Rhinolophus ferrumequinum: one gene and its partner. The protein of the gene in region 1 purifies or fractionates together with the protein of each later gene. This does not show direct contact. Links are inferred from orthologs where the notes say so. Each region holds a gene or a part of one and is shown on either strand. Other genes may lie near its edges.

Region 1 (7,141 bases):
TCATATTCTCAGACTACCACGGGCCATCTGAAGTCTCATCTCTTCACTCCTTAACCTAATCTCTCTTCTTTTTCACCTGGATCTTTATTCACTAATCTCTCATGTGCCGTTCAAGTTTGGTACATATTTCCTGTAAAATTCACCAACCTCTCTTCTATGAAGCCATTCCCGACTGAATATGAAATTACTTTCTCAACCCTCTCCCCACTCACAATTCTCCGACTTAACTCTATATATTTTTTTTTTTAGAAAATGTTATTTATTATATGTAAGCAGCACATAGCAACCTTTGTCTATCCTATATGTGAAAGGTAAAAACGGTACCTCAGCAAAGTATACCTCACTGTTTGGAAACAGCCTAATAATCAGAACTACTTAGTCACAGAGCTACATTGTAGTGTAAGTTTCTAATGTAGTCTAGTTTCTAATGGGTAAGACTAAATTAGGTGTGGTATCTAGTCTTAGCTATACCTAAACCCACAGTAAAGGAACTTGATCAGCTTCAACCGCAGTTCACCCTTCAGTCACATCTCTAGCACTCCCTTCTCTATCAGCAGTCCTACTGCGTTCTCCTGGTCTCAATTACTGCTCCCTCAAGTCTGGAATGCCTCTTCCTCGCCCTCTCCCTTTCTCTGGCCAACTGTCTTTCATCCTTCAGGATCTACTCACTCCCATTCATCCACTAGGAATCAACCAGAACTTCTCCCTTGACTGCTCAACACCAAGTTAGGATCTTCTTACGCATTCTCAGAATATACTTAGTGATGTACTGTATTGTAATTATCAGTTTACTTTTCTATCACTTTTACTGAACTATAAACTCCTTGAGGTACAGACTGAAATTTATTCCCTTTTGTATCCCCAAGACCTGACTGTATTAGATACCCAATAGACAATTAGTGAATGAATGTTCATACCCACTCTGGGACCTTGTGCAGGCTACACAGGCATGCTTGAGTTTGCCCATCTAAAGTACTTTCCTCCTATAAAGTGGGTATAATGCTATACCTAGCTCATAAAATTGTTATTAGGATTAAATGAGGTATCATGAAGCTCTCAGTAGTGTCTATCACATAGAACTACCATTTGAATGTCTGCTATTTCATGCCTTAGTTACTCCAATATATGCTGGGAAATGTAATGTTGTTGTGACCAACATTTTCAGGCTAAAAGGTTTAGCAATCATGCCTGTAGAAGTCATTGGTTACATTCTGGTCATCAGCAAATATTTATTATACACCTATTACGTGCAGGAGTCCTTACTAGGTATCACTGAGATCCCAGAACACAATAGAGGCAAATAATAAGACAAAAACCTGTACTAATATCCAAGAGAGGGAAGAATGTTATTAGTTCTTTTGTACAAACAATATGGGTATTTGTCAGACTACATAAGTTCTGCTTTATAATAGGGGAAAGCTTCAAGAACAATTACTGATAGCAAAAGTTCAAAATTAACTGCTATCATCACGTGGACTAATAATTGGAGGCAGTTCCAAAATTTCTTGTTGCTATTCCTAAATTTCACTTTTGCTTAGAAGTATTTTTCACACACACACACACAAACACTTAACCATGACCAGAAGACAGATGACCTCTAGTTGTCTCATTCAAATGGGAATTCCACAGTATTTCCTTAGGTTTTTCCATTTAGTATTAATTGTGTAGCTCTGGAAAAATGGCCTGAGTTTTTTTTTGTTTTTCTACAAAACAGAACGCTGGATGGTAAATTTTCCCCAACACTTCTCTTTAAGAGGATAAAATGTACACTTCTTATTCACACTGTCCCTTTAACAAGAACTACAAAACTGCAAACCATGTCACCTGGTATTCGAAAAGGAGCTTGTGGACTTAAAACCACTTTTCCCTTAACAAATTCAGAGGTCAGAGTCCCAGTGAAGTTTGTGCATTATACTACGTTGCTTTTAGTGGCTGCAGAGAGACCTCTAGCGCTGCCTCAATAAGCCGAGTTTGCAAATAGTACCTGCTAATGTCACCTTAATGAGACAATGGCAACATGCTGTGTAGCAACGAACTGAGTGACCACATTAATGTTTACAGTTTTGCAACCACATGGAAATTCTACCAGCTTGGAGCAAGAGATATTTACACGGCCGTATGAACCTATGTATCCAATTTATTTCAGTAAAACATGTCAAGGAAATTATCCAGTGCACACCCCCACTACAAGTAAGAAATGCTAAGAAAACAGGTCCGGTGAGCGGAGGTCGGAACAACGTCGCTTCCAAAGCCTCAACACAATAGATGGTAAACTATTGTCCACCTTCAGCTTGCTTCCAAATGCCCGCAGTAACAGGAGTGTGGGCTGGAACAGCTCAGCACGACTGGTCCAAAGGACAGCACTGGAATATAAGAAAACGGTCCTGGCGCATCCTACCCTCCCCCATCCACCACCCTCAAACAAGTCAGTCACCCGGCTGGTCCCCACCCCCCTCTGCGGGCCGCCACCGCCCGCCTGGGCCCGGCTGGCAGAAAGTAGGCGCGGAGACCGGCAGAGACAGGCTCCATGTGCGGCAGCGCGGGAGGCACCAAGGAGGCTGCGCCGGCGGAGGTTTCACCGGCAACCGGTGCTAGCTGCGGCCGCCCCTTCGGCGGCGCGATCGACAGACCTGGGCGGCAGCATCCCCGGCCCGCGAGGCCCTAGCCGCGGACCCCGCCTCAGCTCCACATCCCTTCCTCACAGACAGCAGGCCGCGCCCGCGTGACGGGGCCGAAAACCCCGGCATTTCCCGGTCCCCCGCGCCGGCAGCTTCGGAGGGTGGCTACAGCCGGCCCGCGTATCCGTCGCCCGCTCCGCCCAGCCCTGGGCCGCGCTGATGGGAGGCGGCGGCCAACTCCGACCCACCGCGAGCCGGCGAGAGCCAGCCCGGCGCCGGCCCCCCGCCCCTTCCCGCCACCGCGGGGCCGGCGCGGCCAGACGGGCGAGCCGGGCGGGCCCAGACCGCGGAAGCACACTCACTTCCACATCGCGGCCCCTTGTTCTTAAAGCTCTTGATGCGGTGGTTCTCCAAGCCGGGGTTCTCGGCCATGGTTGCGCGCGGCTCCAGCGGCGGCTACTCCTGCGGCTGCGGCGGCGGCGGCGAGTCTCGGTGCGGGAGGGGGAGGAGGGGGAGCGCGGGAGGGGGAAGGGAGGGGGAGGGGGAGAGGAGAGCACGTTCCGTGACGCCTCCGAGCGCGAGGTGGCAGCAGCGCCGGGGGAGGCGCTGGCCGACTGCCGGGCGGGGCGGGAACCGCGCTGAAGAACCGCGCGCTCCCGGGTTGGCTGGGGTCACGTGCCCAGGGTCGCCCCGGGCCTGGACGCTCGCCCTGCTGTAAGTGCCAGGGGTTTTCGGGATGACCCCCCGCCCCCCACAGCAAGGCCTCCCCACAACCCCTCAGTGCTACAAGTCTTGTGCCAGCAATGGAGCCAGACTTGGCGGCTTTTACTGCCCCGCCCCAAACCCCGAGCTGTGGACGCAAACTACAGTTCCCAACATGCCAGGCTCCGGCGGTCTAATGCTCCTGGCCTTGACAGAACCTGAAGGCCGGGAATCCTAAGCGCGCGGCTTTCCGCGCGGCGCGCCCGGAGAGCCCGGGCCGCAAAGCTCCGCCCCAAAGACCGCCTTTGGGCGGGGGAAGTGGGAGGAGCTTCCCCGGAGATTGGGCATCTTGTGCCCTATTGGGAGAGAGGGGGCGGGGCTTCTCTGGAGTCTCCTGAAATAGCATCCACCCTCAATGGCTGGTCTTTTGCCCTGCTTTGGTTTTATAAATAGCTTTTATTTCCACCTGACATGTACACATGTATGTATATATGTTTTGTATGTGTGTGTTACCTGGCATCCGCACGGGAATTGAGTTCAGTGAGAAGCAGGGGCATTGGCTGGTTTATTGCTGAATCCCTCGCGTCGAAACAGTGCTTGGCTCGTGCATACTCAATAAATACTTTGAACAAATTAGTGTTCTAGCGCCTATCGGTTTCTTCATCATCCTTCAAGCCCGGTTCTCCAACTTTCACTCTGGCAGCTCCTGCATTTCAGTGCCCCCAACACCTCTTGTTCTGCCACCACACGTAGTCTTAGCTTTCAGGAAGCAGTCAAGCCCTGGTCGGCAGACTCCCATCTGGCTTCTCTGTTTAGTGTCATAGGAGGGCCGGTCAAGGGAAATTTGGATCCATACTACTAATAGAGAGTTGCTTTCTGGAGCAGGTGAGCTTCTTTGGTTATATGTGAAAGAATTCAGTTTCAGAATCTCTAGCAGAGAGAAGCAGGTATTTCGATGGTTATAATATAATTCAATTGACACTGGGGTTATTCAAAGATTGGTAGAAACATAACCATAAAGAGGTTAAAGAAGACATTCTTTCAAAGCAAAGGGGCCTTAAAGAGCCAGAGGTCCAGGGGTCATGAATTCAGAGTCATTTGGTGGCTGAACTTTGGGACATTTGTTTTATGAGTGGTGGAGCGTGGCCTGTTGATAGACACAGTCCCATTTAAAGGCTTCAGACCACTGTTGCCATGTCGGACTGTGGGCCAGTCTTGCCAAGCTCCAATTTTTCAAGGAAAACCAAAGCTGAGTTATTTTTTTTCATTTTTAAATGTCGATTCACATTTCTTTTCTGCATTTCACTGAATAAGTCACTTGAGAACTCCAGGCCCTCACTATGAAATATCTGATCCCAGTCCAACCGCTCGTTTAAAGGGGAGAATACACACACACACACCTAAAGCTTAGAATAAATGGATTAGCATTACTTCAACTATAGTTCTTAAGGCAATTAAAGTTGTGTGTTTGAAGCTCTTCCCAAACGGGAGAGAAAAACTTCCAGACTGTTGTTCAATCTCTATTATAACTTATCAAGGCATTCTTTTTTCAGGTTATTTTACCCCCTCTACCACTTCTCTTCATCCTATTTGCTGTTATCCAGTGTGTAAGTGTTTCATCATTTTAGAGTTTTAGACATATTTAGTGAGCACTTACCAGATGTCAGTCATTGCCCTCACACCAGGATATATTTGTAAACAAGACAGCCTGGTTCCTGCCTCTGCATAGCTTTGTGTCTATCAGAGTAGACAGGCAATAAAACGAGTTCTCACCCCAAAAGTGTGGTGAGTGTCAAGAAACAGGAAGGAAGCTCAAGACTCATAGCAAGGAGATCTTTGTAACATGATGATTCCTGTGACTCCTAACATAGGAGGATAAGACTGCAAATGGATGTCTATATACTTGTATCACATATTTAAGTATTTAGAAGTTACAGGTCAAGCTTACAAAGTCTAATTTTTTTTTTGACATTGACAAATGAATGTTCTTTACAACCTGGATGTCTGGGTTTGAATTTAAATTTCCTGACTTCTTGGACTTCTGCTTCAGGGTGTGGTGGTACAAAGAGGCCTGGAAGCCACCTCCCAGCCCACTTTTTTGTTCCCCTTCCGTCTCCTGGCTCCATCCCACACTGGAATAGACCTTAAGAACATATATGTATACCCTTACCCACAAGGTTCATGTCCTGCCTCTCGCTACCAAAGCTCTATTTCCATCCCCCTCTCTGCCTCAAGAGATGCCCCTTGGCCATTGCTCAGGCCTGGAGTGTGCAAAGCGGTAGCCTCATGAGCCCCCAGGAAGATGGACTCGAGAAAGCGGTCTGGGAAGATCCTGAAAGCAGGCTTGACCATTTGAGCAGGAATCCCAGGGCCCCGGTACCCAGAGCTGGGCCTTGAGGCACAGGTTCTAGTGAATGTGACCTGGTGGCCCCATGAACTCCCCACGGGGTGGGGTACATCAGGAGAGAGCCAGAGTGAAGTCCTCTAAAGGGTAGGGTCAAGATCAGGGGCCCCTCTTGCCTGGGTCTAATGCAATAACTTTTACTCTTTGCCATTTTCCCTAGTGACTTCAACATACACACATCTGCTACTTTGGCCTCAGAGTCTCCCCATATTCTTAACTCCACCAAATTTCTACCACTTGTAGCTCCCACCAGGCTTTGGAGGCCTTAATGTCTGAGAAATGACACCTCCAGTGACTCAGGTTTGGGCTTCTCATTGTTAGCAACCATCCCTTTTCCCTCACTCTAGTCTTCACCTTTGCCCTAAAACTTCTGACAACTGTTCTAAATGGAGTTTTCCATATATATACATATATATATATATATATATATATATATATATATATATATATATATATATATAATTTTTCTAATCCACCATCTTGGACCTCCTCTCCCAAACATATTTTGAGTGTCCATCACATGCTAAGCATTGTATTCATTAGGCACTTCTATTAAGGGACAGGGGAGTGCTGAGCAGAGCAGAAACAGAAAGGAAGGGCCCTCTGAGTGGTCAAACTCTTCTTCCTCTGACTCACTAAACCCACCTTCCCAGCGGACAGGCAAGTGGCAGTATGCAGAGAAGGCAACAAAATCAACAGATGCCAAAAGGAGCTCATGATTTTCCTCCCCAGTCAGCTCCTTCTGCAAATTCACCAACTCAGTTAATAGCCTAACCATTCTTCCAGGGACTCCACTCAAGCTTGGAGCCATCTTTACTGCCGCCCTCTCTCTCAACTCCCTCACCTAGTCTCCATATTAATTCGCCATTCAACGCTCCCAGAATCCAGCTTTCTTCCCATGCCCCTCACAAGTCTAGTTAATGCCTCCTAACCGATTCCCTTGCTTCCTCTATCCTCTCCACAAAAATCTGATTCACCTCTCCAGATCTTCCTGATTTTATCTCTTCTCCTCATATTCAATATATCTCTTCCCCTCCACCATTGTCTGTCAAATCATTTCTAAATCCTCGGTCTGATAGTTAAGATTATGTGTGACCCAGCCACAGTGCAATACACTCTTCTTATTTCTGATTCCCCCACACATAGCTTGTGCTTTATCTTACGTGGTCTATCACCTTTCCCAAATATGTCCTAACCTTTCCAGCCTTCATAGCTTTCCCGTTTGATTTACCTAGAAAGCCCTGGCCCTATCTTCCTGTCAAAATCGGTCCCTCTTTAAATACTCAGGCCATGAGGTCACCTTCTCCGTGAAGCTTTCCCAGCACGGTACAGTGGAGGGACCTACAGAATCTGAACACTCAGACCCTACGGCTGACTTCCTACCATAGCAAGCCCAGGCAAGTCATTCCCTGAATTG
Region 2 (7,869 bases), on another chromosome or scaffold:
GAGTTGAGAATCACTACTCCGTTTCACTTCATGGGCATGGTCACATGTTCTCTTGGCTTTAATTACCACCTAAAAGCAGAGGACTCCTAATTGACACCTCCACACCAGAGCTCCCCCCTTTGGATCCACATTCCCAGCTGCTGGCGGGTACTTCAAACTCCACCCACCCTATTCTGACCCCTTCCCCATCTCTCTGCAACCTCATTCTCCTATGCTCTCTAACATAAATGAAAGGGGCCAACCCCAAAAATGGGAATCTTTAACTCCACCTTCTCTCTCATCTCCCACATCAGTTATTCATTAACGTCTGTCAATTCTACCTTTTTAAATGCATCCACTTCTATCCCCACTGCGCAATCTTTACCACACTCATCACCATCTCCACAGTCTCCCAACTGGTCCCACTCCCCTCCAATCATTCTCTCTCCACTTCCTTACACTGTAAGCGCCTTCCTTCAGTTCCCACGACACACCAAGTTCTCTCACACCTTTGGGCCTTTGCACCTGCTATTCTATCTCCCTGGAATATCTTCTTTACCCCACCTGCTCCCCAAGTGACTGAGGCACACATACCTTACTTCCTCTAAAAAACACCTTCCCGGATAAAATGACTGGCCCACGAAAGCTGTTAGGTGCACCCGTCACTCTCTTTAGCTCCTCCATCCAAGAACGGATCACACTGCCCTGTAACTGCATATTTGTCTGCCTTCTCCATCTACCTGGCAACTCAGTGAAAACAGATCTTACTCTGCTCACCTTTATATCCCCAGTGCCTGGCACCGGGTAGGCTCACAGGAAGTACGTGCTGAACAAATTAAGACTTGGTGAATAAAGTAACATAAAACATGTACTTGTTCATTTTTTGTTTTCATCATCAAAGTGGCACACTGCCATTCTTGCCCCAAAGCTCCCAGTCCAGGAGAGGAGGGAGGGAGAGCATGTGAACAAGTGCTTACAGAACATGAGTTTCTCCCTTTCATCAGAAAAGCAACCTTGAGGTTGAGCGAAGCCAGCACTTATTTCTTCTAATTTTTCCCTCCCCACAACTCCCATGTTTCATTCAACTTAATTTTTCTCTCTTATATGATGAGGAAATTGAGCCAAAGAGAGCCTCTTTGGCCTTTCTTTACATCATAAACAAGAAATCAATTGGTAGTCTTTTTGTCCTGCCAAGGTCTGACAAACTCCTGTCCAACCTTTGAAACGCACCTCAAACATCACTTCCTTAAGAAAATCCTCCCAGAATACCCAAGGGTTTACTCCAGATGCTGTACTCTCTATGGCAGTTTATACATCTCTCCTTGCTTTTCCTGTTATAGAAAGGTCGAACAATTAAGTTTGCGAACTTGTTGCAACGATGTTGCTAATATTTTTTGATATCAGAGGGATTATGAATTCGTACCAACTGGACGAACAGTTAACCATGTTTTCTATTAGGAAGTGCTGAAAAGGCTGCGTGAAAAAATTCGACAACCTGAACTTTTCACCAACAATTCATGGCTCTTGAATCACAACAATGCACCAGCTCACACGGCACTGTCTGTGAGGGAGTTTTTAGCCAGGAAACAAATAACTGTGTTGGAACACCCTCCCTACTCACCTGATCTGGCCCCCAATGACTTCTTTCTTTACCTGAAGATAAAGGAAATATTGAAAGGAAGATAGTTTGATGACATTCAGGGCATCAAAGCTAATATAACAACAGCTCTGATGGCCATTCCAGAAAAAGAGTTCCAAAATCGCTTTGAAGGGTGGACTAGGCGCTGGCATCGGTGCATAGCTTCCCAAGGGGAGTCCTTCCAGGGTGACCGTAGTGATATTCAGCCATGAGGCATGGAGCACTGTTTCTAGGACAAGTTCTCGAACTTAACTGTCCCATCGCGCATGTTTCTATGACGATCTACTGAAGCGAACTAAACGCATACAGGGAAGGGCCCACATTCCTTCAAGCCTTTTTACCATCCCCGCTCCGCACCCGACACAGCGGGTCTCGGCAGGGGCAGCGCAGACAGCAGGAAGGTCACGATCGTGTGCCTGGACAGAAAGGTTACGAACAGAGGCTCTCGAGTCAGGCTGCCTGCGGGTGAATTCACACCCCAACACTGACTCCATCTCTGCCTCAGTCTCCTCAGCTGTACAAGGACCACAGGAGTGAACCCCTCATAGCACCAGGTGGACATGAAACGCTTCATCACCGTCCAGGGCTTACACGGGTGCCCGGCAGGGGCTCCACCTGTGTTGGCCATTCCTCTCAACCGCCCTGTTTCCCCCACATTCCTGACGAACGGGAGGGGACTCATAATCATGGCTGCGGTGCCCCCCGTAACTACCGACCAGAATTCAGTCTCCAGGAAGAGAGCAGAGACCGACGTACACAAACGCTCACGTACAAGATGCCGACCGTCCTCCACGGCCTCTCCACCCCTAAAATAGCATTGACCCCCACGGCCAGAATGAAAGGAAACAGCCCCTTACTTCCCTCTTCTGCTGTCCCCTCAGCCTCAGCGGCAGCCCGTCTGAACCTCGGCCTGTCCGCCTCCATCCCTCAGGGGTCTCCCCGGACCCCCACAACACGTCCTCCACAGGACTCCCCCAAACGCGCATCCAGCTCCCTTCTCATCTGTCCCGACGATGAGAGCGTGAAGCGCGTTTCGCTCGCTCACTCCCGTCACCGCCTGAGGAGGGGTCCCCGGCCCATTTCACAGACAAAGACACCGAAGCCCCCAGAGGAAACGTGCGCTGGGCTCCAACGCGGCTTTATTGCCGGAACCGGGTTTGCCCCCGACGGAGAGCGGGAAGCAAAGGCAGAGCGAGGCAGGCCGACCAGCTGGCGACTCCCACACTCCCGCCTTTCCCCGCGCCCCACGCCCCTCGGGCCTGTCCGGAAAAACCCGCGGAGCCTGAACTAGACCCCGACGCATCACCCCACCAGGTTCCAGACCTCGGCACCCCGCCCGGGCCGGGCTTGCTCACCTGAGGTAACCGCCGCCATCTCGCGTCGCCTCAGTTGCGACGGGCTCCGGGCGTCCATTCCACTCCCTCCTTTGACCCGCCTCTCCCATTCGAATTTCCCGGTGCCCCGCCCACTCTCCCAGGCTCCACCAATCACAGCCAAGAGCCGCGGAAGTCCCGCCTGCGGCGCGCACCTATCAGCCGTCTAGGGCTCGCCTCCGAGTCCTGCACGAAAAAGGGTTCCCCGGCGGAGGACGCATGCGCGCACGTTGGCCATCCCGTCGTGACGTCAGGGCCCGCGCTCCGGCGCAAACTTAGGAGCCCGAGGCCTTGGCGACAGTGGCCGTAGGGGGAGCTGCTGAGCGCCGCCCAATTTCGAGGGGTAGTTTTGCGTTAAGTGCAGAATTTTCGCCTCATTTTTTTCCCCCTCCACTAACTACGAATTTTCGTTCGAATCAAGCAGAGGGTGATCGAAGGCACTTAATCGATTTATCCAAAAACTTCCCTGAACTGAATACACTTTTCCCTATTTTCGTGGCAGAAAAGGTGATTATAAGAATAAGGGACGTCTGGGGGCGATCTTTACTTTCTACCGTTTATCGCCTCGGACGTCGTTTTGCTTGTGCTTTAACGTCTGGTGACTTCTGTAGGCGTGGTGCGCCCTGCGGCATTGTGAACAGTCACGTTGTACTAACCTCTTGCTGAGCCCAAAGCCACTAAGTGAGATGCAGAAGCCAGGTGACATATGTGCCCCCTTATGTCGCGTGTCTGAGCCAAGGAGACAAGCTCGGATGTCCGGCATTTTGTAATTCGGCATTCAACATGTAGAGAGTGAGCGAAAAAGGCATGTTTGGTCTGGGTCCCAATTGGCTGTTAAGTATGAGGTGTGATCAAAATACATGGTAATGGTTAAATTTAAAAAAGTTATTACAGTAAAAGACACCTTGCCATTAACCCCCCTCAAAATACTCCCCCTTACTTCGAACACATTTATCCCATCGTTTGGCCACTTTCTGAAGCTGTTCTGGAAGTACTCCTTCAAGGGCATCTTTAGTTGTGCTGTCATGTGGCTGCCTCGATGTCCTGAATCAATTCAAAACATTTTCCTTTCATGGTCATTTTGACTTTGAGAAAGAGCCAGAAGTCACACGGTGCCAGAGCTGGTGAATAAGGTGGATGAGGACACACTGTAATGTTTTTATTTGACAGAAATTGCCATACCAGAAGCAATGTGTGACATGAAGCCTTACTGTTGTGATCACAAAATACAGTGAATGCTGCTGCCGAGTGCCATCCAACAGAAAGGCAGGGATCTTCAATATGGGAAGCTGCACATCGGAACCTTAGTAACAGTGTGTGACAAGTTTCAACTTGTTTGGTGCAGTCGGTTGGAAGTGAGCTACAGTTGAGAGAAGGTAGCTGTGTTTTAAAGCGTGCCATAAATCATCCTCCATCATGACAATGTTCTGTGTCACACGTTGCTCCTGGTATGGCAATTTCTGTTCAATAAAAACATTACGGTGTGTCCTCTTTCACCGGATCTGGCACCGTGTGACTTCTGGCTCTTCCCTGAAGTCAAAATGATTCAGGATATCCAGGCAGCCACGACAATACAACTAAAGACACTCACGAAAGAGGACTTCCAGAACTGCTTCAGAAAGTGGCAAGAATGATGGGATAAGTGTGTGCAAAGCGAGGGGGAGTTTTCTGAGGGGGATTAATGGCAACGTATCTCCTACTGTAATAAATTTTTAAAATAAATTTTATTGGGGAATATTGGGGCACAGTGTGTTTCTCCAGGGCCCATCAGCTCCAAGTAGTTGTCCTTCAATCTAGTTGTGGAGGGCACAACTCACTGGCCCATGTGGGAATCAAACCGGTAACCGTGTTGTTCAGAGCTGGTGCTCTAACCAACTGAATCATCCGGTGCTCCTGTAATGAATTTTTTTTATATGAACATTCACCGTATTGTTTGATCACACCCTGTAGTTCCCTATACTTTCTGGAAACTTAACCAGGGGTGATCATCTCATCTTTGAGCTCCTCGTAGGGCCCTGGTTTAAACGTTATGTCCAACCTATTATAAAACAAAACAAAAAGTAAATTATAGTTGTTCTCCATTTTTTTGGCTTTGGAATCCCATTCTTAAAAATTGAAGCCCCAAAGTTATTTTGCTTGTATGGGTTTTGTCTATCCATATTTACTGTATTTGAAATGAAAATAAATTTAAAATATTAATACACTGAAAAACTACGGTAACAAATTCATAGAAGCAGTAGATTAGCAATTGCCAGAAGATGGTGAGGGGCTGGTGAATTTGGATTTTGCTAATAGACATGGAGTTCCTTTTGGGGGTGATGGAAATGTTTTGTATGTAATTAGACAGTAGTGATAGTTGCATAACATAATGAATATACTAAAAAACACTGAAGTGTACATTTAAAAATGGTAAATTTTATGTTATGTGAATTTATCTCCATTTAAAAATCTGCCCCAAAATTGCAGTAACAAACACATCACATGTAAGTAATATTTTTATTTTAAAAAGTTTCCAAAGGATAAAAAACCCTCAAGAACAAACAAACAAAAAAAATAGAAGAGTGTCATTGTTTCACATTTTTACAAATCTAACAATGTCTGGCTTAAGAGAAAATAGCTGGATTCTCATACCTGCTTCTGCATTTGGTCTGTTGTGATACTACACATCCTATAGCCTCTTGAAAACTCCACCATACACTCAAAGAAAAAAAAAAGGATGCAAGTGAAAAAAATCAAATGACATCTTCTTTTATTATGAAAATAGTTTTGACCTTGCAGACCCCCCGAAAATGTCTCAGGGACGTCCAGAATTTCCTGGATCACACTTTGAGAACCGCCGAATTACAGGACTGGCAGTTTGGTTTTCCCCTGCACTTCAGCAAGGGCTATTCAGGTTTTCAGAGTTGTTGCCAGTCCCCAGGTATTTGATGAGATACCTGCCAGAAATCCTGGAAAGAGCACAGGTCAGGGAGTCAGGACTTCTAAGGATGAATAAGTAGCTTAGGTGCAGGGCTTTGATGCCAGGTAACCCAGGGTAGAGAGCCTCCCTGTGCCTCCATTTCCTCAGCTGTGAAAAAGAGAATAATGGTTGAATCCCCTTCCTAGACTTGGTTTAAGGATCTTCATCTGCCTCGTGGAAATTAGGGTTGTTAACACCTGACATCCAACGAAAATAAAATAATTCAGTACCCAATGTCTCGTTTGCTTGTAGTGTGCCAGCCACTGTCCTAGGAGGTGGTAGAGTACCATGGTGAACAAGAAGACAGACATGATCCCCGTTTTCCTGGAGTTTATTTTTTGTGGGGAGAGGGGTGTGGGAGTGGGTGACGGTGACAAGATAGTAAACAGAATTTTAAGGGAAGGGGGGAATCAAGGTCTGCATCTGCCTGGTGGAAATTAGGGTTGTTAAACACCTGGTGTTCAGAGAAAGAAATATATATATTTTTTTAAACTTCCAAACTAAACCCTGAAGAAACGAAGGAGAGCAGAGGAAAGTAGAATATAGAGTTTACGCCCTGAAAATTGCCAAGAGACTGGTGAGTGAGGCAGGTGATTCTGTCCTTCAAGCCTGGAGAGAATAAATGAGGGTCATCTAGGGTGAAAGGCACAGTGGCAGTGCTGAAGACGAGAGCGAGGCTGGAAAAGAGAGGACCCCACCTGGAGGGCCAGGTGGAGACGGAGACCTCAGATAATGGAGCACCACAGGTGGCCAGGAGGCCAGAGCCAGCCTGCCCATATGGACACCCGTTTTCCTTCACATGCAATTATGTAAGAGCCACGGGATGGGGGTGGAGGTGGGGACGGGGGCACTACCCAAAGGGGCCCAGCAGTGTCCCTTTCCTGAGGGCAGTGAGGACTGAAGTAAGCTTTGGTGGCTACTGTGCATGCAGGTTGGATGTGCTCACTAGAGTGATGAGACTTGCTCTACAGAGGGTGTCAAGAAGACAAAAAAGAATAGTATAGTAACGTTTAAAAGAAAACAAAATACTGTAATCCCTAGCTCAAGGATTCTCAGAATGTGACCTGCAGGATCCCGGGCCTCTGCAAAGTTAAAACTCTTTTGTAATAGCATTAAGATGTCATTTGCCTTTTCATTCTTACTCTCGTAAGTGTCCAGTGTGTTCCACAGTCTATATAATACGTAATATCACAACAGATTGAACATAGAATGGGCTAAACTGGATGATGACGCTAGAAGGTCCCCAAACCCCAGAAACTCACTCTTGCCCTACGATGTCTGTCAGATTCAAGTATAAAAAGGATTGAAGTGCTGACACATGTTACAACCTGGATGAACCTTGAAAACATGTTCAGTGGAAGAAACCAGACACAAAAGGCCACGTTGCATGATTCGATCTGTATGAAATGTCTGGCATAGGCGAATCCATAGAGACAGAAAGTAGATGTGTGGTTACCAGGGGCTGGGAGAGAGAATGGCTAGTGCCTGCTTGATGGGCACGGGGTTCCTTTTGGAGGTGATGAAAGTATTCTGGAATTAGAGAGCGGTGATGGTTGTACAACCTGTGAATATACTCAAAACCACTGAAATGGCACACAGGGCGAATTTTATGTTATGTGACGTATATCAATAAAAAAATAATTAGTGACATAGTATTCCATTCCACGGAATTGAATGTTTAAAAGAAAGGAATGGTTATAAAAACAGGCTAGGCGTGAGTTTGTTTCTATAATGTTACTATTTCTTTATAACCTTTGTACATATGTACAACATGGACATAACTGTTATCTTTGTCTAATTGGGAAGAAATGTCTCAGGACTGAGACCTAGAGTCCTGAAAATTCTTTCCAAAGCAGCTTTATATTCCCCAGTCACTTGAATGCCTCCCATGAAGTCTCACCATCCCCTTATGGACGATC

The links. Proteins that work in one complex are often made in the same cells at the same time.
Region 2: the proteins of KPNA3 (region 1) and KIF22 purify together in Homo sapiens (affinity purification with mass spectrometry; 3 studies listed by BioGRID and IntAct, counting the BioPlex papers as one, with this or other methods). This does not show direct contact. The link is inferred for Rhinolophus ferrumequinum from reciprocal best matches to the Homo sapiens genes KPNA3 and KIF22.

Annotation. Positions count from the first base shown.
Region 1 is NC_046287.1:87,819,845-87,826,985, reverse strand, and holds the start of KPNA3 (importin subunit alpha-4), read right to left. Parts: upstream 3,066-7,141; 5' UTR 3,051-3,065; coding exon 2,995-3,050; exon of another isoform or gene 2,981-2,994; intron 1-2,980. UniProt on the Homo sapiens protein: Functions in nuclear protein import as an adapter protein for nuclear receptor KPNB1. Binds specifically and directly to substrates containing either a simple or bipartite NLS motif.
Region 2 is NW_022680357.1:826,003-833,871, reverse strand, and holds the start of KIF22 (kinesin-like protein KIF22), read right to left. Parts: upstream 3,087-7,869; 5' UTR 3,032-3,086; coding exon 2,974-3,031; intron 1-2,973. UniProt on the Homo sapiens protein: Kinesin family member that is involved in spindle formation and the movements of chromosomes during mitosis and meiosis. Binds to microtubules and to DNA. Plays a role in congression of laterally attached chromosomes in NDC80-depleted cells.